3 linked regions of the Alligator mississippiensis genome follow. The protein of the gene in region 3 interacts with the protein of the main gene of each other region in a pairwise test. Links are inferred from orthologs where the notes say so. Each region holds a gene or a part of one and is shown on either strand. Other genes may lie near its edges. The genes, in order: PKNOX1, MIS18A and NUP58.

Evidence for each region.
Region 1: the proteins of NUP58 (region 3) and PKNOX1 interact in binary tests that used the Homo sapiens proteins (3 or more experiments, as listed by UniProt). The link is inferred for Alligator mississippiensis from reciprocal best matches to the Homo sapiens genes NUP58 and PKNOX1.
Region 2: the proteins of NUP58 (region 3) and MIS18A interact in binary tests that used the Homo sapiens proteins (3 or more experiments, as listed by UniProt). The link is inferred for Alligator mississippiensis from reciprocal best matches to the Homo sapiens genes NUP58 and MIS18A.

What each region holds. Positions count from the first base shown.
Region 1 is NC_081824.1:299,809,176-299,816,963, forward strand, and holds the start of PKNOX1 (homeobox protein PKNOX1), read left to right. Parts: upstream 1-4,721; 5' UTR 4,722-4,826; intron 4,827-7,788. UniProt on the Homo sapiens protein: Activates transcription in the presence of PBX1A and HOXA1.
Region 2 is NC_081824.1:291,157,291-291,164,489, reverse strand, and holds the start of MIS18A (protein Mis18-alpha), read left to right. Parts: upstream 1-4,097; 5' UTR 4,098-4,159; coding exon 4,160-4,400; intron 4,401-4,491; coding exon 4,492-4,558; intron 4,559-4,778; coding exon 4,779-4,901; intron 4,902-6,203; coding exon of another isoform or gene 6,204-6,330; exon of another isoform or gene 6,331-6,371; intron 6,372-6,860; coding exon 6,861-6,954; intron 6,955-7,199. Other genes in the region: MRAP (melanocortin-2 receptor accessory protein), read right to left, coding at 518-623. UniProt on the Homo sapiens protein: Required for recruitment of CENPA to centromeres and normal chromosome segregation during mitosis.
Region 3 is NC_081824.1:430,289,401-430,296,637, reverse strand, and holds the start of NUP58 (nucleoporin p58/p45), read left to right. Parts: upstream 1-4,133; 5' UTR 4,134-4,241; coding exon 4,242-4,357; intron 4,358-5,595; coding exon 5,596-5,735; intron 5,736-7,237. UniProt on the Homo sapiens protein: Component of the nuclear pore complex, a complex required for the trafficking across the nuclear membrane.

The sequences.
Region 1 (7,788 bases), about 130 Mb from region 3:
CTTAGTTAACTGTTTTTACAGTAGCAGAAAAAAAGAGAATCTTGTTTGCAATAGGGACCTTCCATCATTGTTACCGTGTCAATGCTTGAACTGATATCAGTTCAAAGGAAAGCTGTGGGAAACCCTATTAATACAACATCATTTCATTCTGATCACTGTTACACATATTAGTTGCTGCCAGTGCATAGGAACCCACATCCACTTTTTAAACATTCTTTTCAATGTTTAACCATAAAAAAGCTTTAAAGTAAATCAGAAAGACTCTTTTTTTGTCAAATATTTGAAACAAAAAGTTTCCTCCTTTTCTGTCTGAAAGTATTAAGTATAAAATCTACATCACCGTTATACTGAGCATGCAGTTTTAACATTCAGGACTTCAGAATTGCAAATGTTAAGGATGTCACATTGACCTCACCTCATGTATGCAAAGTTATATTTGATATTTTACATATGTATGTGCATGCAATCCCACTTGCACTAAAATGTAACTGTAAGAATGTATGGTGGGCTTGCCTATCTTCGCCCAGTTCCTCAGGATTAGAGAATTGCCAAAGCAATAGGTGAGACAAACCCACCCATCAGAGACCAGCAGGGGAGGAGCCTCAGGAAGAGTTTGCCCTGCCCCTACATCAGGGTGAGGTGAGGAGCAGACCAAATTGAAGACTGTGCTCCATCTCCCCTGATTGGCTAGGCTTCAGTCTTGGGGCAGAGCCCCAAAAGGGTATATAAGGAGCTACATGCACAGCACGTGGGGGGGGGAGGGTGGTGTGTGGAGACGATGAGGGATGGAGAAGAAAGAAGAAGCTGGGGCTGAGGAAGAGCTAGGGAAGAGCTACCCAGGGGGTGCTTCTAGTTGCCCTGAAGAGCCATGTCCCCAACCCCTTGCCATGAGAGAGCACAGTGAGCCGGTGCAGACATCACTGCACAGAGGGTCCAACAGTGACTGCGACCTGGAGAGCTGTTCAAGGCGGCTTGGGTCTCCAACCCTAACATGAGGCTGGATGGTGCAGGTGTCACTGCATGGAGGGTCCGGTGAGCTGCTCAAAGTGGCTCAGGTCTCGAACCCCAGCACCAGTGCAGACGCTGCTGCATGGTGAGCCATTGTTGGGCCAAGGGCCCTTGGAGGGGGCAGGGGGTGGTTCCCCATTCCCCACTGCTCGGAACAATGGCCCATGGGCAGCGCAGGCTCCGCAGCAAGGCGGCCCTGTACTGGAGCCCTGGTCCTGGGCACACAACCTGCTGAGAAGACCGAGCCATCTGGACATGTGAACAAGCCACGTGGGAATGAGACAGAGCACTCACTGCAGGAGCCACTTGCCTAGCTGGGGATGAAACACTGGGAACCCCTACTCACCGGGAAGCTTGACTTCTTGGACAAGGGGTTTCCCACTGGGGAGGGATATCAGAGTGGGTTTAGGCTAGAGAGAGAGAGACTCCTCTAGAGGAGGGGGGCATTTGGGATTATCATGCCTTACATTTTGGAGTGTTTATTAATTGCTTGTTGTGTTTTCTATTCTGAAGAGTTTATTCACTATTTATTGTGCTTTACATTTTGGGGGCGCTTACCCACCAGTTGCTGGGACATACTTACCCTCTGAGGATCCATGGGTGAGGTTTCTCTTGTGGATCTTGGGGACTGCTATACTTACCTATTATTTGTTGACTTGAATGTATTATATGTAAAGAGTTATCTTTATCACCCATCCAGTTTATTCTATCCCCTCACCTTTTATTCTGCATCTGAATAAACTATGTATATAGTTAAGATATTGTGTCCTGGTCTTCCTCTAGAGACACTGGAGAAGGGTAAGCTGTGAGCAAGCTGCAGTTTCCATTTCCAGCACATACGCCCTGCTGATCATCCCCTTCTATTGGAAAGGGGGCTTGCACACTCCGGTACACCTGGGATACAAATGTAAGAAAAGAACTGGGTGTTCTAGGTGGTAGGTAAAGTACTTTTAGTAACTTAGACCTTGACCCTAAAAGCACTTACACAAATGCCCACCATTCAGATAACTTGGTACTACTCACTGCAATAAATTTAACCAGGTATAAAATTGTTTCCAGGCCCAGTTGTTAAATGTATCTGATTTAGGGATACACATACAACTTCAGTGCTCAATATGTTCTACTTGCACAAATTGAAATCAGTTTGGGAAGACTGGTATTTCATCATCATTTGCAATTGCAAAGCTTATAAATGTTGCCACTTATTCAAAGCTTCTTCCAATGTGTTATTGCAGGTATTAAACATTTTGTACAGCCAGGTTTACTTGTAAGTTCCATGCTGTCCAAGAAAAGAAGGTGACTGACACTTAAGTTTCACCATTGACTTCCTGTGTGCACCTGTATTTGTGAAGAACACAGTGTAATAGTAAGCCAGTTGCGTGAGTAATCTTCTAATGTATTTATTGTGGAGAAAACCTTCACTGTGGTACTGAGTCCTCAATGTTTTGTGACTGAGAAGGAGAGGCACAGTAAGATCTTAGCACCCAGAGATGGAGAGAAAAAAGGATTTAATTTTCCAAATTTTTCATCTTCTATTATTCTCCACTGTTTTTTCTTCTTCCTCTCACTTTCTATTCTTTTTTCCTCCCTTTCATTCTCTTCAGTTTCTAAATGTTGCAGACTTTCTGAGATGGGTGATCCTGATTTCCCTTCTATTTTCTTTGCTGAATCTTACAAACGTTATTTTCACAGTCCTTAGCTCCACATTGCTCTGCCTGCCTCGAAGAAAACTGGTGAGCACAAGAGCTGACAAAGAGGCAAGAAAAAGGACCAGATGACAATTTGTGACTGGCCAAGTGAGGATGGCAGCATAGGGTGACTAGATTCCCAAAGAAAAAACTGGGATGACATCAGCTGGGAACGGATTGGGGGCATGACAGCAGGGGACAAAAGCTGCTATGTGCAAGGGATATGTGACAAGCCTGTTGCATATATGCTCAGGTAACTTGTCTTGGTAACATGGGCTCTGCTGACCAGTGCTGCCTCAAACAGCCTGGTCTGGCAGAGGACTGTAAAAAACCCAAACTTAGCTACTGGGCTTACAGGGAAGTCAAGATAGGCCCTGAATGCAGGAAGGTCCCCAGGGAAAGCAGGGGTTCATGGCCATCAGGCAGCTTTGCCTGGCCTGACCCTGCCCGGGGCTGCAAAACCTGGGACAAATCACTGGTTTTTAAACAAGCTCCTGCCAGGCACCAGACCATGGCTGGCACTGTGGGGAGGCACTCTGCTCTCTGTAGGGGAAAGGGAGCCAGGCTGCCCCTTTCCCCTCCGTTCATGGCATTGAACGAAGCAGGCTGCCTGTTGCCTCTGCGAGCTCAGGCCTCTCTGAACCAGCTAGTCTGTGAGGCAGGTATTATCAACCAGGCGGCCTTGAGATCCTTTAGGGATGCCCCATGTGAGGCATGCCAGCACAACCCGGAGAGAAACCCAGAGGTTTCCAAGAGGACCCCAGAGTACGGCAAATGTTCTGCCCTGCTGTGGGCTTTCTGGACAGGCCGATGGCCCCTGTACTTTTCCATAAATCCAAAAAAACCCCAAAAACAGGAGAGGAGGGGGGAAACAAAGCCGGCTTTTCCTCAGAAGCACCCTGCGAAGAGGGGCCGGGTGCCTAACTAGGGTTGGCAACCCTGAGTCTATTCGAGGAGGTTTCCAAAATGCCAGTGTGCCTGCAACACAACACGAATGCGCCCACGTACTTGTGTGTATCAGGTACGGATTATGGTGTGTAGACGTTATGTCAAGAAGGCAAATGCACGTGACTGTTACATTTTAAAAACCCACTGGACTACTGTACAAATCAGATTCAACATTTAATCTTTATTTTAATGAACGCCCTGTCATTGATCTCTCAGGTGACTCCCAGCAGTCTCCTGGAGATTTCTTTCTCATTCCTAGAGACACCAGGGCAATGCTGGTGGGTTGGCAACCCCAAGCCAAAGGGTGCCCTGAGCCTCCAGGAGCTGAGCACCCCCTACACGCTGCCTGATCTTTCTCCCGATTCAGGGTGGCGCTGTACAGATGGGCAGTGTCGCCCAATTGGGTGGCAACAGCGGGGCAGTCTGCTAGCTGCCAGGCTCTCAAGGACCGGTGTTTCTAGGAGGGGGGGATAGTGCTGGGGACACATGTGCTCTCGGGAGCTGGTGAGCGGTGTGTTGCAGGGCATGCATGGCGCTGGGACTGCCACGGCCCACCCTGGGGCGCCACTTGCAGCACACCACTCCCCTGGGGCTCACAGGAGCACCTGGGGCAGCCCCAGGCCAGGTCTGCAACCCCCAGAGCCCTTGGGCCCACAAGGGAGGGCCTGTGGGGCAGAGGCCTGAGTTGGGGGGCTGCATAGTAACCACCCCTTCCCTTCCAGGAGGAGTGCGTGGCCTCCCCCTCATTTAATTTGGTATCTTCCCCAAGTCCCCCCACCCTCTACTTCATTTGGTATCTTCCCCCTGCCCCCACCCCGGAGAGTTAGTTCCATCTCCCTCCCACCCCCGACCGAGCTGAAAGGGGCGGTGCAGAGCTGGGCGAGTCCCCGCCCCCTTCATGAATATTCACAAGGCTGGCGGCGCGCAAGCCGGGGAGAGAGAGAGAGAGGAGCGGTGGCCCCACCCCCGAGCCGAAGCTAGCGGCCGGCGCTGGGCGTGTCCGCGGCGGGCCCCGCCCCCGCGGGGGTGAATATTGATGAGGCGTGGCGCGCGGCGCGGTGTCGTGGCGGGCAGCGCGGGCGGCGATTGGCCCGCCGCGGGTGTGCGCGGTGACGCGTGTCGCGGCGGTGCGGGTCCCGATTGCTGCAGCCGCTTGTCAGTGTGACGAAGATTGGCACCCAGGTAAGCGCTGTCACTCAAACCCGCTCCCAGCCAGCTCCGCCAGCCATCCATCACGGCGCGCCCGCCGCCGCCGCCCGGAGCCCCGCCGCGCCGTGCCGCGCGGCCCGGCCGGGGGGGCGGGGGGGGCAGCCCGCCACACGGAACAGCGGCGGGGGAGGGGGCCGCTCGCGCTCATGCCCAACCCGAGCGGGGGGGGGGGAAGGGAGGGAGAGAGGGAGGAAGGGCGGGGGTGAGGGGCGGTGGCGGGCAGGGGAGGGGGGAGCGAGGAAATTTCTGGAACAGCCGCCGTGGAACCGTTGTCTGGGCGAGCGCGCGCCGGCCGGGTGTGGGCAACAGCTGTGCGCGCGCGCGCGTGTGTTGGGGGGGTATTTAAAGGCCCAGCAGCAACTTGGGGCACATTCCGATGGAGCCGGGGGTCCCTAGCTCTGGTCTTAACACCTGCCCCAGTGGGGCTCCCTTCCCCCCGCCCCCCTACGCGCAGTGGTGTAGTCCGCGGGGAAGCGGTACAGCTCCCTCCGGAGTAGTAGTGCGGCCCGGGGTGGGGGGGGGTTTCTCATAGCGCCTGGGTATCGAGTGCCCCCTCCTGCCCCTGCACCCACTCCTACGGCAGGAGGCGGGGCAGCCGTTGCCGCAGTCGCGGCCCCCAAGCGCGTGCAGCGTGAGGCCCCGCCCCGGCGGGGCAGCGGAAGAGCCCGGCCCGCCTAGCCCGCCGAGGCCTGGTCGCGGTGCGCGCGGCTCGGGGAGGGCGGCTGGCTGCGTCCAGCCACCTGCCCGCTGCTGAGCCGGCTGCTGCGTGTGCCCCAGAGGCTGGGCTCGGCTCTGCAGCAGCTGCCGCCAGCAGATGTAATAGTCACCTCGGGCCGCCCAGCGTCCCCCGGGCTTCTCCGCAGCCTGGCCTGGGAGCTACTGCTCCCCCGGGGCCGGACCTGCTCTGAGCTCATGTATTAACACCGACACCAGCACCTGGGCCTGCTCTGTGCTTCTGCATCTCTACTTCTCAATCTCCATTTCACTCTTTCTCTCTTGAATTTTATCCATGCAGTGGTTCTGGGCAGCTAATGCTCCAAATGATTTTAGAGGTGTAGTTGCAGTGGCGTGGGGTTTTTTCCTCTTTTTTTTTTTTTTTATCTTGACTTTTTTTTTCCTGCTGGTGCCCAGGTTCTCAACCTTTTTTGTACCAGGACCCATTTGTAAACATCGATGGCCAGCCCGGACCCAATGCCCCTCACTCCTGACCTGCTGCCCAGTGCCCCCAGTGTGCGCGGGGGCGGGGGGGGAGGGGGCAAGCAGCCCCTTGAGGGGATGGAGCTCTGCCAGCCTGCAAGGGAAAAACCACAGTTTCCCACGTTTTTCTCTAAAGAAAAATCCATTTTTAAAGTTTGTGACCCTTTCATGTATTCTTGCAACCAGTTTTGGGTCATGACCCATGGGTTGCAAAATGCTGTGTTAGTCAGCTTTGATTGATTGATTTGTTCCTCATTTAGGGTAACTAACGTATCTCAGGGGAGACCATTAGGGTCCTGATCTGTTTCCCTTATTCATCGGAGTCTTGTACCTGCTATATATATAGTTTTGGCCACACAGTTACAAATGCTGTCCAGGCAGGGTTCATTTTTTTCCTCAGCCCCTTTTGGAATCTGCTGCGTGTTCCATTAAGTTGGTTACTGAAGTGAAGAGACTGTGTTTTGGCCTGGCTTGCAGACTTTGGAGAACCTTTGAGTCACAGTTGTCTTATGTCACAGTCCCTTTATTCTAAAATCTCATTCAATTAAAATAGTCTTGCATTTTTTCACCTTTTTAAAAATCTTACAATAAAGTGAGCACTCATATTGCTGTTTACCTATTCAGGTGTTCATCATCTTGCTTAGAAATTTATTTCTAAGTGTTCTTCACTTTTCTTTTTGCTACAGTATCACTCTTTTGATAAGATGTGATTTTTAGAGGTTTTTAAAAAATACATATCATTAGTATAGCTACCAACGCTGCAGCAGTTGTATCACTTTACAGATCCTGGTATAGTCCAAGTGGTAAAACGTACTTATTGCAAGAATGAATGTTAATTGTGCATGCAGAAAGCCATAGTCTCTTAAATTGCCTTGAAGGGTAGAAAGCTAATGACTGCTGCAGTATTAGAAATTCCCTGATACAAAGTCACAATATTTAGGGCAGTTTTAGGCAAAAAAAAAAAATATATTGTAGACTCACTTTCTTAATACCTCTGCCAAAAATTGCAGAATTGTGTTTTTTAAATATGAAAATAACTGCTTTTGTATTTAATCATGCATTGGTTTAAATTGTCGAACCTACACACGTAACAAACCATATATTTGGGTAAAACAGTATCTTGCCTCATTTGATTTCATCCTTGGTTTTTAGCTTATCCAAAATCTCTAGTTTTTCAAATTTTGTTACAAATGAGAATATTTTTTGCTGTTTGGTTTATTCTGGGCAGTGAAACATGCTCAGTGCCTGTCCCTGCAAGTAGCAATAATTTTCGATACTTCCCTGCATTCTGACAACAAAAGGCACAAATGAGAGCTTCAGAAGAACATAAGAAGTGCCTTACTAGGCGTGTCTACACATTGATTAATGTAATTACAGCGCATTAAGTTTAGTACCTGCAACTACAGGTACTAACAATGCACCAAAATCAGTGCTACTACACATTAGTGCAGATGAGCACTCTTAATGTGATGTTAATGCATGTGACTTAAGTCTATTGCGCATTAGCATGGTTTTTGCCAGCTGTGCCAGTGCACAGTAGAAGGGTATTCTGTGCATTGTCTTGTGTAGATGCACTCACTGGGTCAGACCAATGGTCCATCTAGCCCAGTATCCTGTTTCCAGGCGTGGCAGAAGTGAATGCTATACCAGGAGATCATTGAATGAAATATCTCTATAGAGTGCTTTATCCCCAGTTCAGTACCCTTCCTGCATCAGCATACAGATTTTGTGTGGTCTT
Region 2 (7,199 bases), about 140 Mb from region 3:
GAATGCCAGATTAAAGAAATAAGGAAATAAGTAGCAAATGTGTATTCAATTTGTGGCTCTTCCTAACTGATCAAAATACAGCTTCTTTTTCAATAATATATAAAAATGCACAAAAATTTCAGTGCAAACCTTGTATTTCAAGAAGGAAAGATAACTGGCAAATCTGTAAGCATATTAATCTATTGTTATTCTACTGTACAAAATAGCCAGGAATATGTCAAACCATTTATCTGCATTTCAGAACAATTTCCAGTTAATAAAGAGTTCAATAAGCTGTCTTTCCAATTAGGAGTTAATACCAAAATATTTCTAGAATATACATTCTTTATACTAAATAAAATAATATTGTACCATTAGCATCAGCTGGTATTAGAACCCAATCAGCATATATTGCCCAATATATGTATTCCAGTATGGTCTATATTACAAAGTGAAAACACATGTAAAAGAAACTAGTCATCCTATTCTGTTTTCTAATGCTTCCCATAGTAGATTAGCTGCTACATGTAGTACTTACATTTATGAACCTTCAACATCCTTCCATCTACTGGAAATGGATCAAAATAGTCCCAATAATATTCATAAGACCAGTAATACTCAGATGAGTTTGTTTTGTTAGCCATTTCAGTAGTATATTTCAATCAGCTCTGCTCTGATCTGATACTTTGTTTCATTGTACTTTGGAGTTCTCAAAAAGACACTGAGTACCTGATGCCTATGTAAATCATTCTGGAAGACCTCACATCCTGCAGCTCAAGGACTGCTCAGATACTAAAAAAACTTAGCAGAAATTAATATCAGCCTGTGACAGACATTTAATACTAAACTTATACACAGAGGGGGTTAGCCTTGTTAGTCTGAAGTCAGGCAGAAGCAGTGGCATACCAAAGGGAGTGAGGCATGGGGAGGCCATGCCCCTGGGTGCCGGACTGGTGGGGCAGGGGTACTCAGTCCCCTGGTGGCACTTCCAGTTTTGCCACTGGTGATTCCTGGCTTGGCAATTGGCCGCCGGGCCCTGCTCCCACTTAGCGTCTGGCTGTTGGGGGGACCCTCCCTCCCCACTTAGCGATCGGCCGTGGATTGGGGGGGTGCAAATGGAAGATCCATGGTACACCACTGGGCAGAAGGCAGGGAAGGGTGGCACCTGAGGGTGCCTGTACATGAGCTGGGAGGCTGCTCCAGTACACTGTAATTACAGCACATCGGAGCAGACTTGATACCAGCTGAAGCATGCTAATTAGTGTGCTCCAGCCAGCCTCCACGTCTCATGTATCAATGTCCTCGCACTACAAAATGATGGCGGGGACACTTTAACTAAAACTTGTTCAACAAGCTTTAGATAAAGCACCCCTGCCACTATTTTGAAGCATGGGGATGCTAATACATGAGATGCTCTGGGTGCTTTAATTAGAGCAGCTCTCAGAGCCCTCTCCCTCACCCCCGAACCATGTGAAAATGTCCTGAGAGACTAACTAGTTCAGAGCAGCATGAACATTTGTAGGCAACAAACTACTTTGTCAGATGCGTACCTTCTACCAAATTTATACGTGTCATCTACTGTTTAGGTAGAGAAATATGTACTACTTCCCATACTGTTTTATATTGATACAGATGCAAGGTAGACAGTAAAAGAATGAACAAAACCCAAGCTAAATTATAACTCGTCACAATGAGTGCCTAGCAACAACGAAAGAGATATTCTTGACCGGCCAAATATAAAATATACTAAAAACAATACTGAATATGTCATATACAGACCCCTAAAGGACCTCATGAAACACTTCATAAACATAAGGAAGTATTGAAGCAACTATACATTATGTATGAAATATTAAAAATGTTTGTGTTTTAACACCCCTTTGGTTCTGCCAAAAAACAACATAAAAATAGAGCCCCGCCCCATCAGCCTAGAAGCAAAATAGATTCATTTGTGTGCTAATAAATTAGATTGAGCATGTATGTTTATGTTTGTGAAGGCACTTCAAAGGTTGCCAAAAGTAACCTTTGAAGTGCCTACACTAATATAAACATACATGCTCAATCTAATTTATTAGCACAGAAATGACTAACATTAACAGAGAAACAGACCCTCTATTAGTTTTTAATTCTATCCCTAAGGACTATGAGATGCACCATGGCTTTTCAAATCAGAGATGGCAATTTATTCAGATGCAGGTCCTGGAAAACTTCATTCTCAAAGGAGACAGTCTGGTAATAGGTTTAGTCACTATAAAGCATCTGTCTAAACAATGCCACATTTTTTTTTTGCTCTGGAGCAAAGGAAATACAGTGGAAGTAGAATCTCTGCTAGCATTTCCAAAACAAACAAACTGTAAAGGAGCACTAAGGGGTAACGCATAGCATGTGCACGTGGGTGCATGTGCACCCCGTGAGCATGGCAGTGCGCCCCCTGCAAAAAGGGGGTGCAGTCCCTGCCACACCGCCGCCAGCCCATGATCACCCCTGGTCGCGGGTGGTCACTGACCTCTGGTCAGCACTCGTCACCCCTCCCCTGGCTGCCGACAGTGCCGGTGGCATCTGTGGGAGCTCCCCACTCACTGCTGCCAGGCTCCTGCTGCTGCCAGCGCAGCCGTGCCCCCCCCAGCTGCTGGGGACACGCGCTGTTCACGGGAGCACTTATTTTTAATGCGGGCTGGAAATTAGAAATAGAGCAGTTGGCATCAGGTTAGTTAAAATTAACTCTAGTCAAGATCAAAATATGCATCGATCTCTCTATCTTAGATCCTTCTGTGATCCACTTCGCAGCGAAGTATCTGAGCACCTTGCACTCTTCGACACACACATTTTCAGAACACTCCCTGCAAAGTAGAGAAGTAGTGTTTGCATTTGGTTGTTTGAAAACTGAGAAGTAAAGACTTCCACACAGACCCTACACTGTAACTGGATGTCTGAAGTCCACTGATTTCAGCAGGAGTTGGGTACAACCCTTTGAGGATCTGGGCCTCAGTGACTGGTCCAGGGTCACCAAAGAAATCTGTGGCAAAACAGAAATGGAACCCCGCAGATCAGGATAGTTCTTGGTCCATTCTTCCTTCCAGTATTTTGGGGGTTTACAAGCATACCGTTCTCTTCTTAAGAGAACATAGTGTTCTCCCCTTGGCTTTGTGAAATGCCTGTATAAACCAGGGAGACGAATGAATTGTAAAGAAGCTGTGGTAAGACTGACTCTGAATAAATGGGTATGGCATATACAAAGTAGGAAACAGAAACCAGGGAGGGAAGTAATTGTTCTCCCTTTGTCCTTCTGCTAGCCAGGCATCTTCAGGTGTTGGGAGGATGCCTGGCTAGCAGAAGGATGGCGGCATCACCCACATGTGCCACAGCTTGGGCTGCCCCCATGCCTGGGCCAGGCGGTCCCGCTGTGGGCTGCACACAAACAAAATGCCTTAGTAGACCGGATCTTGCCCACCCCCAGTCTATGAAAATGCCTGGCAGCGCTGATGGGGTGTCTGCCCTGCAAACATGTGGAAGGTAGGACTTTTATTTGTGGGTGTGGGTACTTGTTATTGGGCCAAACAGTGTCACCGACTCTCGTGATTTTTAGCGTTGTTCTTAACTTTGGGAATTTTTAAAAAGTAGCTCTCTCTCATATATAATGTTATACATAGTGTGTGTGTGTATATATTATATAAAATGTTATATTATACAGTGTGTGTGTGTGTGTGTGTGTGTATATATATACACACACACTATGTATAACATTTTATATAATATATATATAAAAGAAAAAGCTACGCTTTTCACGTTCCCGAAGTGTGGCCTTTAACAACGACTGCCCAAAATCATGAGAGTTGGCAATGCTGAAAGGCGGGCGAAGTCTTTGGGTGGAGGCAATATCTTTTATTAGACCAAATAAATAAATAAAACTCAATGTTACTGGATCAACGCCCAGTCCAGCCCCTCGGGCATGCGCATACCAGCCGTTCCCTTGCACTGACGCCCGAAACCCCTTATGGCCCGAACTGCAAGGGCGCCGGTCACGTGACGGGCAGAAAAGGGGCGGGGCGTACTCCTGTCCACTTCCGGAAGGGGAGGCGGGGCTGTGCCGTGGGGTTGAGGCTGCGGGTGCGTTGCTTCCGCTGCCGGCGCTCGCTGATTGGCTGGGGAGTGCCAGCGGCCGTTGGCCGGGTGGTTGGCTATGGCGGGCGGGCCGTTTGTACCGCCGGGCGTGGCGCTGGACTCGCAGCTGTCCGTGCTGGGGCTAGACAGCAGCTGCGGGCCCGAGGCGGCGGCGGCGGGGCGGAACGGTGGGGGGGAAGTGGAGGAGGAGGGGCAGGAGCTGCCTATGGTGTTTCTCTGCGCCGGCTGCAAGCGGCCGGTGGGCGACACGCTGAGCTGGGAGGCCAACGACGAGGAGGGGTCCTGTGTCATGCTGCGCAGTGAGTCCTGCCCTGCATCAACCCCGTCCCCCTCATCCCTGTCTGCCCGACCGTTGGGGGGCGGTTGGTGACGGTTGGCTTTCCCTTGCAGATGTCACTTCCAACGTGCTGGTGGATAAGGAGCAGAAGCTGTCCAGCCGGCCCGGCGAGTACGGCTGGTGAGTGACCCCTGCGGGGGCCGGCTCAGGGGATGGCTACCGTAGGGGGCAGAGCCAGTTGGATACATTTGAGACCTCTTAGCTGTGCTCTCTGTTTGTATAAGATGTCCGCAGTGGGGGTGGATGCGGGAAGGCCAGAAGTGGGTATTTGACTAATCTTGGTCATCCTAAAAATTCTTCTCGACGTCTGCTAATTTAGTGATAAGTATTTTGCTTGTAGCATGATTGAAACGCTGCTCTGCTCTGGGTGCTCAGTGAATCTTGGGACCATCTACAGATGCACCCCCAAACACCTGGACTATAAGAGAGATTTATTCTGTTTCAGCGTTGACGCTATTGAAAGGTAAGACCATAGTTCAGGGACTGGCAAAGTCTGGCCTGCAAGCCGGGTCCAGTCGGCTGTGGACTCCAGCTCCCAGCCGCCCCTGCCTGCATGGCTTGAGCCGGTCTCCATGGTGACCCCAGCCGCACCTGCACAGGAAAGCTCAGGCTAGGGTTGTCATGCAGACCAGCCTGAGCCATGTTGGCAGCATGTGTGACAGAGCTCTTGGGATCTTGTGATGGGGGCAGTTTGCTCCAGAGCTAGGGCAGAGCCATGATCTGTAGCCTGCACACTCTGAGCAGGGGATTGTGGCTGTGCCCTGGCTCCAGAACAGGCTGTCGCTGCTTCTAAGAGCTGGGCCTGAGCCACAATCCCCTGCCTGCACGCCTCTGCCTGGAGTGTGCAGGCTGCAGATCACGGCTCTCCTGGCTCTGGAGCAAGCTGCCCCCATCCCGTGTTCCCAGCAGCTCTGGAGCAGCCCCCTGCGCTGCTCTGCCACACATGCTGTTGGTGCGGCTCAGGCTGGTCTCCATGACAACAACCCCAGCCTGCCCTTCTACAGGGGCTGGGGTCTCCATGGAGAACCGCCCTAGCCATGAGGGCAGGGGCTGCTGGGAAATGGAGTCTGGCTGCTGGCGTGGTCATTTTGCCCACCCCTGCCACAGTTCCTCTTGTCAGGTAAGCGTGCAAGTGTTTTTGCCTTTTAATTTGATTGCTTCACTGTCAGAAATGGAGGATGTTTCTCTATTCAGGAGTTTACAACACTCGTGAAAGGGTAGGGATGGTTACTGGTTGCTTCTCTGTACTCCTTTAGTTTAAGAAATGTATTTTCTGTTTTTGCTGTCTATGTTGGAATGCTCGATATATGGAAAGATTCTGCATTTGATGTGGGGTAATCCCTGATAGTTTCATAACTTAGGTGTTCATTCATGAAATAGTTCAAATACATCGAGTGTCATTACATACACAAGACTGGAATACGGTGTCTTGGCTGCAATCCTACCCAGAAGTCTGTGTATGTAAAGACCAAGTATCAAGGTATCAAATTAGACCTAGGTGAAGACAAGCCTTTAGATATGTGGTTCTCAACCTAGGTGCCATGTGATCCTTTTAAAGGTGCTGTGGGGCACTGCAGTGCTAGCAAAGTTAAGTGCACAAACACCCACACATTTCACAAAATAAACCCAGAGATTTAAAATAGGAATCCAGTGTCAAAAACCTTCTGACCTGGTGTGATCTTTCTGTGTGTGTTGCAACAGAAGAATTGCTCTTTCAGTCATTTTTCTCTAGTTAAAAACTGACTGATATTCATTTTTTAAATAGGGTACCACTTGATTCAGGTTATGAAGGGATGTTTCGAGTCTTAAAAATGTTGAGAACTACTGCTTTGGAGGAAATGCGTCTTAACTACCCGTCTAAGGACAAAGTTAGCATGCTGAAAACTGGGTGAAGAAATACACCTTTTGGCTTCCTTGGGCTTAAATCTGGAAGGTCAGGATTGATATACCTACAGCATTAAAACCTGGCTTTCTGTAGTGTTATTAAACAGAAGGTTTTAAAATATTTTTCAGTAATTAAATCTTGGATCAATTATGTTAGCTCTTTGAATGATGTTGCTCTTTGTTCCTGTTCTCATTAACTTAGGGATTGGTTGGTTAGGTGACACTTCCGATTCAGAAGTTTGAATAGCGTCATCCACTTTTTTTGTTTTTACATGTTTTTATTCCCCCTGCGCTATGTTATCCCTGTAGTTCATTCTCTTTCTTCATGTTAATTTGTATCGGTGACAATAGGGAATTCTTGTATGCTTGTTGTATAATAGGTCTACAAAACTACATTTTCTTCTTGGCTTACAGATTGACAAACTAGCACCATCCTCTATTTCATCTAATTGCATTGACTGGTGTTATAAAAATGCCAGGTATGTGTGGTTATTTCTCATTTTGACTGAATATTACATAATTAAATATTTTATATCAGTTACATCCTAGGATCATCAGAAAAGCAAGCTGTAACTGAGGAGGAGCCTTTAACTCTTCAAAGTCGAGGTAGCTTGGAAGAGGCACTAGAAAGGGTAAGATTTAGTTTTTAAGCTGGTAAAAGTTCATTACAACTGTGAAAACATCCATACAGTGTCTCTACATAACTGCTTCTAATTTCAGCCAGTTTCAGAAAGTTAGATGTTCAGAAAACTTTCCTCCCAAGAACAGTTCTGACAAAAACAAAAGTTGCTAATTAAATGCATCTCTGGATTTCTGGCCACCTTTCTTTATAACGAGGAAGAGCACTTGTCTCCAGAGGTTCTGGTCCCTAAGTTTT
Region 3 (7,237 bases):
AGTTTTCTTCTGTGCAGAGAAGTGTAGGAGTTTCTTCTGACGATCATCACAGTACTTTGGGGGGAAGCCTGTGCTCTACTGTATATTCTGTGAAAGTCCAGGGATTTTCAAGCAGAAGTGAACTGTCAAAAATCACCCCCAAGGTACTGTTTCATGAGAAGCCCCCAACTGAAATCCTGCTGTTCTATTCAGTCAATCCAGGGGAACATCTCAGAATTTCTTCGTAGGGGTTTTCAGTACTTCATTTGCAAAAACCTAGCTCAGCTACTGAACACATCAGCAACACTATGGTTGAAAATTTAACATCAAAGCTTATTAGTGTGGAATTTCCTGATTATTACACATGGATTTGCCCTCTGAGAACCTTTATAAAATTGCACTTCAGTTTAACTGAGATGCATATCTTAATGGTCCATGGTATAATTAATTCTAGTGAAGTGCACTGTTCTAGATTAAGACCACATCCAAACATGGGGATTGCTAACATATCAATCCTAATCCTAGTACAAGGAGGGCTTTATTATGAGGTCTGCATTTATTGTGTTGAGTTGCTGCTTACTGATTGGTCAACTGAAAGACAATATTTGTGACATCATGACCCCCAGTGGGACAGTCAAATGAACCACAAAAGATGGAAGTGCCTTGAGGCATCATCATGTCAACTAGGTTCAGCAAAACCTGAGAAAATGAATAATGCTTAAATGGTCATGGAGAAAATATAGAATTTTTTTTTTTAAGTTAGCAGACTCAACTGGTTTTCATCAATAAGGCAGATAAGAACTATCTTCGCCGGTGCTGAAAGTGACTGGTTCACACCAGCTGTCATGGCAAGACAGAGGCGTAATTTGTATCTGGAACTATTTGGTAGTATGGTCCTTCAGCCTGAAGTCATAAATAGGTAAGAAACTTCATTTCAAACTCCATTGTTGTCAAGAACCTAAAATATGTTAAGGGCATCAGGAAAATATCATCATGCCACTTTAAAAACCATGGTATGTTCATATCTTGAATACTGTGTACAATTCTAGTCTCCACATTTCAACAAGGAAGTAATAGAATTAGAAAAGGTACAAAGGGCAACCAAAATGATCCGGGATATAGAGCAGTTGCCGTACTAGAAAAGACTAACAAGGCTAGGGCTTTTCAGTTTTGAAAGGAGAAGGCTAAGTGGGGATATGATAGACATCTATTACAGGGGTGCTCAACCCCCAGCCCACTGGCTGGATCCAGTCTGCATGTCCATGTCATCTAGTCCACAGGGATCCCCATGAGTCCAGAAATTTGGCAGGGAGGACACAATAGCAGTGTTAATTTCCTCCTCTCCCCCAGTATCAAATCCTTGGACCTGGGGGGAGCCCCATAGGATGGATAGTATGGCCCTGCGCACCAGGGTGAGGGACTGAGTGGAGGTGGTGCGAGGCCCGATCCAGGTGTGCTGGGCTAGACAAAAGTGGTACGAGGCTGATCAGATGCACAAGGAGCTGACCAAGACGGTAAAGGGCCGCTCCAGGCATGCAGGGACCAGTTGAGGCAACAAAGGGCCAGTCTGGGCATAGAGAGGCTGAGCTGGCCAAGGAAGTGTGCAGCCAATCCAGGCATACAGGAGCTGGCTGGAGATGCTACAGGGCTGAGCAGACGCAGCACAGGGCCCAACTGGGGCGTGGGGCTGGGGCAACGTGGGACCCCATCCTGGTGTGTGGGGCTCAAACTGGCTCATGGACTAGCCCCCCTAAACTGACCTGGCCTCTGGTCTATACAGTCATGAAGGCTGTGGATAGGGAACTGTTATCCACCAAGTCTCAGTATTCTAGGACTAGGGGACACACTGAAGTTAGGAGATGGTTTTAAAACTAACACAAGAGAAACTACTTTTTTATGCAGCACATAGTTAATCTGTGGAACTCATTACCACGGGAGGTCGTAGAGGCAGATAGTATAGCCAGGTTCAAAAAGGGATAAAGGAGGCAGATAGTATAGCCAAGTTCAACAAATTCATTGATGATAAATCTATTAATAGCTAGTAAACAGATCAGTCAGAGAAGCATCCTCTGGCACCATCTCTAAACCATTAATGGTGGATGCCAGGGAGGATAATGAACAGGGGATAAATCACTCTGGATACGCTCAATTCAGTGTTCTCCCTGCATAGCATCCACTCCTGCCACTGTCAGACAGGCCTATTTTTTGTGCTCAGGAAACATGGGTTTAGGCCCACCACAAAAAACTATAAGCCCTCCTTTAAAACGGAGGCTACTAAGAATGCAACAACAGATTTGTCTCGGGACAAATAAGAAAACAGGAATGGAAGTGAAGGTTACAGGTTCAAAACAAGGGCTAGATAAACCATTGACCTGACCCAGTATGGTACTTTTTATGTTTTCAGATCCCAAAACAGTGTGTAAATATTCAGGGAAACACTATCAAATTTAGATGTTGGACAGCATCTACCTTTGTCCGTAGGTAGACTCACTTGTATTCCAAAGTCTGGGTGGTACAGAGTTTCTCAAAACAGGGGCTTTTGGCACAAAGGAAAGCTCTCAAGCATGTGCATATGAATGTAAATAGAAGCCAAATCAAACACAACAGCTTAGCACAACAGCCTAAAACACTTTTCTTTGCACCACGTGAGGACTTTCAAGACATACATGCTAGTATTTAATTGCTGTTGAGAAACAGTTTTCTTAAGATTCCATTTCTGTGTATGTTTAACTTTACATATTGAAGTCAATTTAACTATTTACCTGCAGAAAACCGAGCACAAATTTCTTCTTTCTGGCCCTGAACATATTGCATTGCCCCAAGAGGCTATACCTGTTTTATACCAGGTAGGGAGAGGGTCTTAAATTACCTTTAAGTAGCATTTGTATTGGAATTAAGTAGAGTACTGGCCCCAAATCTGGCCTCTCTACCTTTTAAACATATTATTTCAGCCCAAGATAGGTAGTTCTGTATTGCTTTTGTATCTGTTCTCTGTGAAAGGCAAAGGACAGTTTTGGGTTTTTTGGGGGAGGTGGGAGGAAAGAGGAGGGATATCTTTTATTGGACCAACTGCCTTGTTGGAATAAAGTTAGACAAGTTTTGGAATGCAAAGCATTCTTCAGGTCTGAGGAGAAAAGCAAGCACCTACACGTGTAGCGAGGCTGCTCTGACAGCACATCCGAGCAGGCTCGATTAATTGAGTATGCTGGAGCATGGTAATAACAAAGCTCTTTGGACAAGCTTTAAAGTATAACGTAACTTTGAAACGTGAGGATGCTGTTACACAAGACGCTTCAGGTGCTTTAACTGGAGTGGCTCTTAGAGCCACTCTCATTAAAGCCACCCTCCCAGCACATGTATAAACACTGTAAAATTCTTTAGCTTGTGCCTTCTCCATTCCAAGTGATGGATTTTGGTATCTTCTATGTTATAGCGGTCTTAGAGTGAAATCTATATAGATAGGCAGACAAGGTTCCTTGGGTGAATTTGATATCTTTTATTAGACCAACCCAAATGGTTGGAGAATGGTTAAGCAAGCTTTCGGGTTCAAAAACCCTTCGTCAGGCTAAGGAAGCTTCAGCAGTTGGGTTTTTGAACCCAAAAGCTTGCTTAATAACCATTCTCCAACCATTTGGGTTGGTCTAATAAAAGATATCAAATTCACCCAAGGAACCTTGTCCGCCTATGTCCTTAGACCAACATGGCTACAACCTAAACCCCTGCATATATATATATATATATATATATATATATATATATAGATACACACACATATATGTATACAGACATTCACACCCACACACGGTGATACAGTCAGGCAGCACGACTCCAGCCGACAGCCCTATGCCCGCAAGAAGAGCGCCACCACAAGGCCACAACCCAGCCGGGCGCTCCGCCAGGGGATCACGTAACGCTGTGTCCGCCGAACCCCCGTGCTGGTTCCAGAGGCTCCCGGCGCAAGCGCAGAACCACTCCCAGCACCCGCGATGGGTGGGGCACAAGCGCGGAGGGCGGAAGAAGGGCGTGCGGCAGGACGTTGGCTCCGCCCCCTGCAGCCTTGCGCGCTAAGCCGGGCGACAGGGGAGTGACGCACCCGGTGCGACGGTAACTGGCCTGACTTCGCTAGTATCCCGTGGTGCATTGCGGCAGGCGGTACGGGGCGTCGCAGGAGCCATTTCGCGCCCTTCGCGTTGCTACCTCGAGTGGAGCCCGCGCTCGGCAGCGATGCGGCGCTGAGGAGGCCGCGCTCCTCGGCCGCCGCCATGTCTGCCGGCTTCTCCTTCGGGGCCGGCACCTTGGGCTCCGCCACCGCCGCCGCCGCAGGCGCGGGGGGAGGAGGCGGCGGCGGGGGCTTCTCCTTCGGAGCCGCCGCGCCCAGGTACCGCGGGGCAGAGCCGGGGCGCGGGGCCCGGTGCGGGGGGCGCTCGGGCTGGCAGTGGACCGGACCCGGCGCCGCTTCCCTCAACCCCGCGCTGTGCATCGGGGCCTTGCGCCACCGCCTCTTGGCCCCGCGCTGAGGTAGCGCAGGCTGCGCCGGCCTGCGAGGCCCGGGGTGCGGAGATCGGGCAGGAGGGAGGGGCGATGGCTGCCGCGGCTGCCCCCCCCCCCCCCCCCCCCCCCCCCCGGAAGGACCCTGGCAGGGACCCTGACAGCAGGGCAGGGAGTTGGGTATCCCTGCTGTGGGGTAGTCCAGGCTTGTGTAAGGATGGCATGAAAGTGTCATCCTTCTGAAACGATTGACGTCCCATCTTCTCCACAGCGAGGGGCAGCCTGGCTAATGAGGGCGGCTGGTTATAGCCAGACCTGAGGGGTGGGGTGGGTGCCCCAAACCATAGGAGTTGCTTATTATAAGGATAAACAGCATCACGTCCCAATTGGCAGTGTTCAGGCTGCCGTTCAAAGATGCAGCATCTGGCATTATATTAACGATGTACTGAACCGTTTCCTGCTAACTGGCTTTGACATCTGGTACTGCATCTTAATTTATGATTCAAATGTCAATTGATAAATCGGGAAAAGTACTTGGCCACGTTAGTCTGAAGAAGGCAAGTTTATTTCATAATGGCCTTCAAAAATAGAAATGAAAATGCACTATAAACAAACTTGTATTGCACGTCTGTGACTAATTGTCCCCCTCACAACTGAAATTTTTAAACTTTTAAAATCCTCCTGCAGTTTGGTTTAGTGAAATTTATGCTGAAGGGGATTCACAATCATGATAGTAGCCCACTGATGTTTTGTGATACATAAAACCACTGTCCATAAACTCTCACATTTAATGTCAAAGAGAACCCTAATATATTTGATTTATGCTTATTGAATAAATTGAGTGCAGTTTACTGTAGTTACAGTATTGATCTTCCAAAAATGGACTTGCTTTGCAAATTGTCTTAGAATTTTAAGCATCTACTTTGGTGATGATAAACTGGTAATATGTTCACCCCTTTTGATGCTGTTTTATGGGAGTGAAATCTGACAGCATTACCTTGCAGTTAAAGTTGAATGTGTTGCAGAGTAAGCATCAAGTAAATAAATTGATGAAATTACCTACAGATGCAGACTTGAATTAGGTTGGTCGGAAAAATAATTGTTGCTAATAGTTGTTTAATTTTATAGCTCAACAGGGGGACTTAATTTTGGCACCTTGGGTTCCTCCACTGCTACAGCAACTACGTCAGCTCCTTCAGTAGGTTTTGGAAGTGGACTTTTTGGATCAAAACCCTCGACCGGGTTTACACTAGGAGGTACTAATACAGGTAGGAAGTGCATGTTGATTTTATTCTTACAATACAGGAGAAACCTATTTTACATAACACAGTGTCTTATACAAACTTATACAAAAAAGCAGGGATAATGCATCATGAACAGGGATCTGGGTTTTCCGTTCATGATGGAAAAACTCAGGCTGCCTCCATGGCCCAGTGGGTGGGACCTGGTGCAGCAGGGCACTGAGCTTATGTGCCCAGCCCCGCTCTGCCCTGTTGCGCCAGGTACCACCTACTAGGCTGCAGAGGCCCCAGGGGCAGGGCAGCAGGCTGGGGAGCCCAAGCCTGCAGTGGGTAGTCTGCACTCCACCCCCCACTTCTTCCCCCTCCCCCCCCCCCACTGCATTCCTGCTGTGGGCTTCATGCTCCACTCATCACTGGGGCTGCAGCAGCTGCTGCTTCCTGTGCACAGCAACTGGTGTTCGGGTGCTGCTGCAGGGAGCAGGGGGCTGCACACCTGGGTCCCTGGCCCTTTAGCCCTGGCAGCTGGGGGCCCCCTCTGACAGGGTTGGGGGGGTGGGGGGCAATGACAGAGGCAGGATGCTGGCATATCGGGGCTGTTCAGTGCCACAAAGCAGTTCGGGGAGGGGACAGCCGCAGCTGGACTTATGTCCTGGTGAGTGGAGGGGGCAGCGAGAGCTCTGATTTTTTTTCCCCCATGACAAAAACACAAAATCAAATGCTAAAATTCATAGGTATTTAGAATTTATTTTACTATAGGTATTGAGGTACTGGTAGGCTTCTAAATTGCTTTAAAATTGTGGGCACACAGCAGGGCTGGGGTGGCTCCTGGCTGCCGCCACCGCTGGTCCCAGCCCTGTGGTACCACTGCACGTGCAGCCCCAGCTTAGTGTGGCCTGCGTCTGCTCCAGACTTGCCTGCCCAGGCTCAGTGGCAGCTGCTAGGCAGAAACTGTTGCTTGCCACAGGGGGAAAACAACCCCTTTCCCATACTGCTGCAGGACAGTTCTTGGTGCAGCCACCTAGAGCCTGCACCACACTGGGCTGCCTTGTGGCTGCTTTACACTGTCACCATGCTGAGCAGCCCAGAGGCAGCAGTGGTGGTGGCAGAGCCGCAGGGCAACCTGGTATGGCGCGGGCTCCAGGCAGCTGCATCAGCTACTGCCTGGCAGCGGCGAGGGGGAGGGGCTGCTTTTCTCCTGCACTGAGCAACAGTTTCTGCCCAGCAGCCACTGCTGCTGAGCCTGGACGAGTGAGTCCAGAGCAGGCATGGGGCACACGGGGTCAGGGCTGCCCATGTGAGTCTCTGCCAGTACTGCGGGGCTGGAGCCAACAGTAGCGGCAGCCAGAAGGAGCCACTCCAGCCCCACTGCGTGCCCAGGGGACGGCAGGATGTGCCATGGCTGGACAGCACCTGGGCCAGGTGAGACCCTGGGACCCGCCTTGGGCTGGACAAAGCCCCTCTGGCCTGTATTTTGCCCACCCCTGATTTGGGAGTATCTGAAGACCCAGACTGAAGAGTCTGGGAGGTAG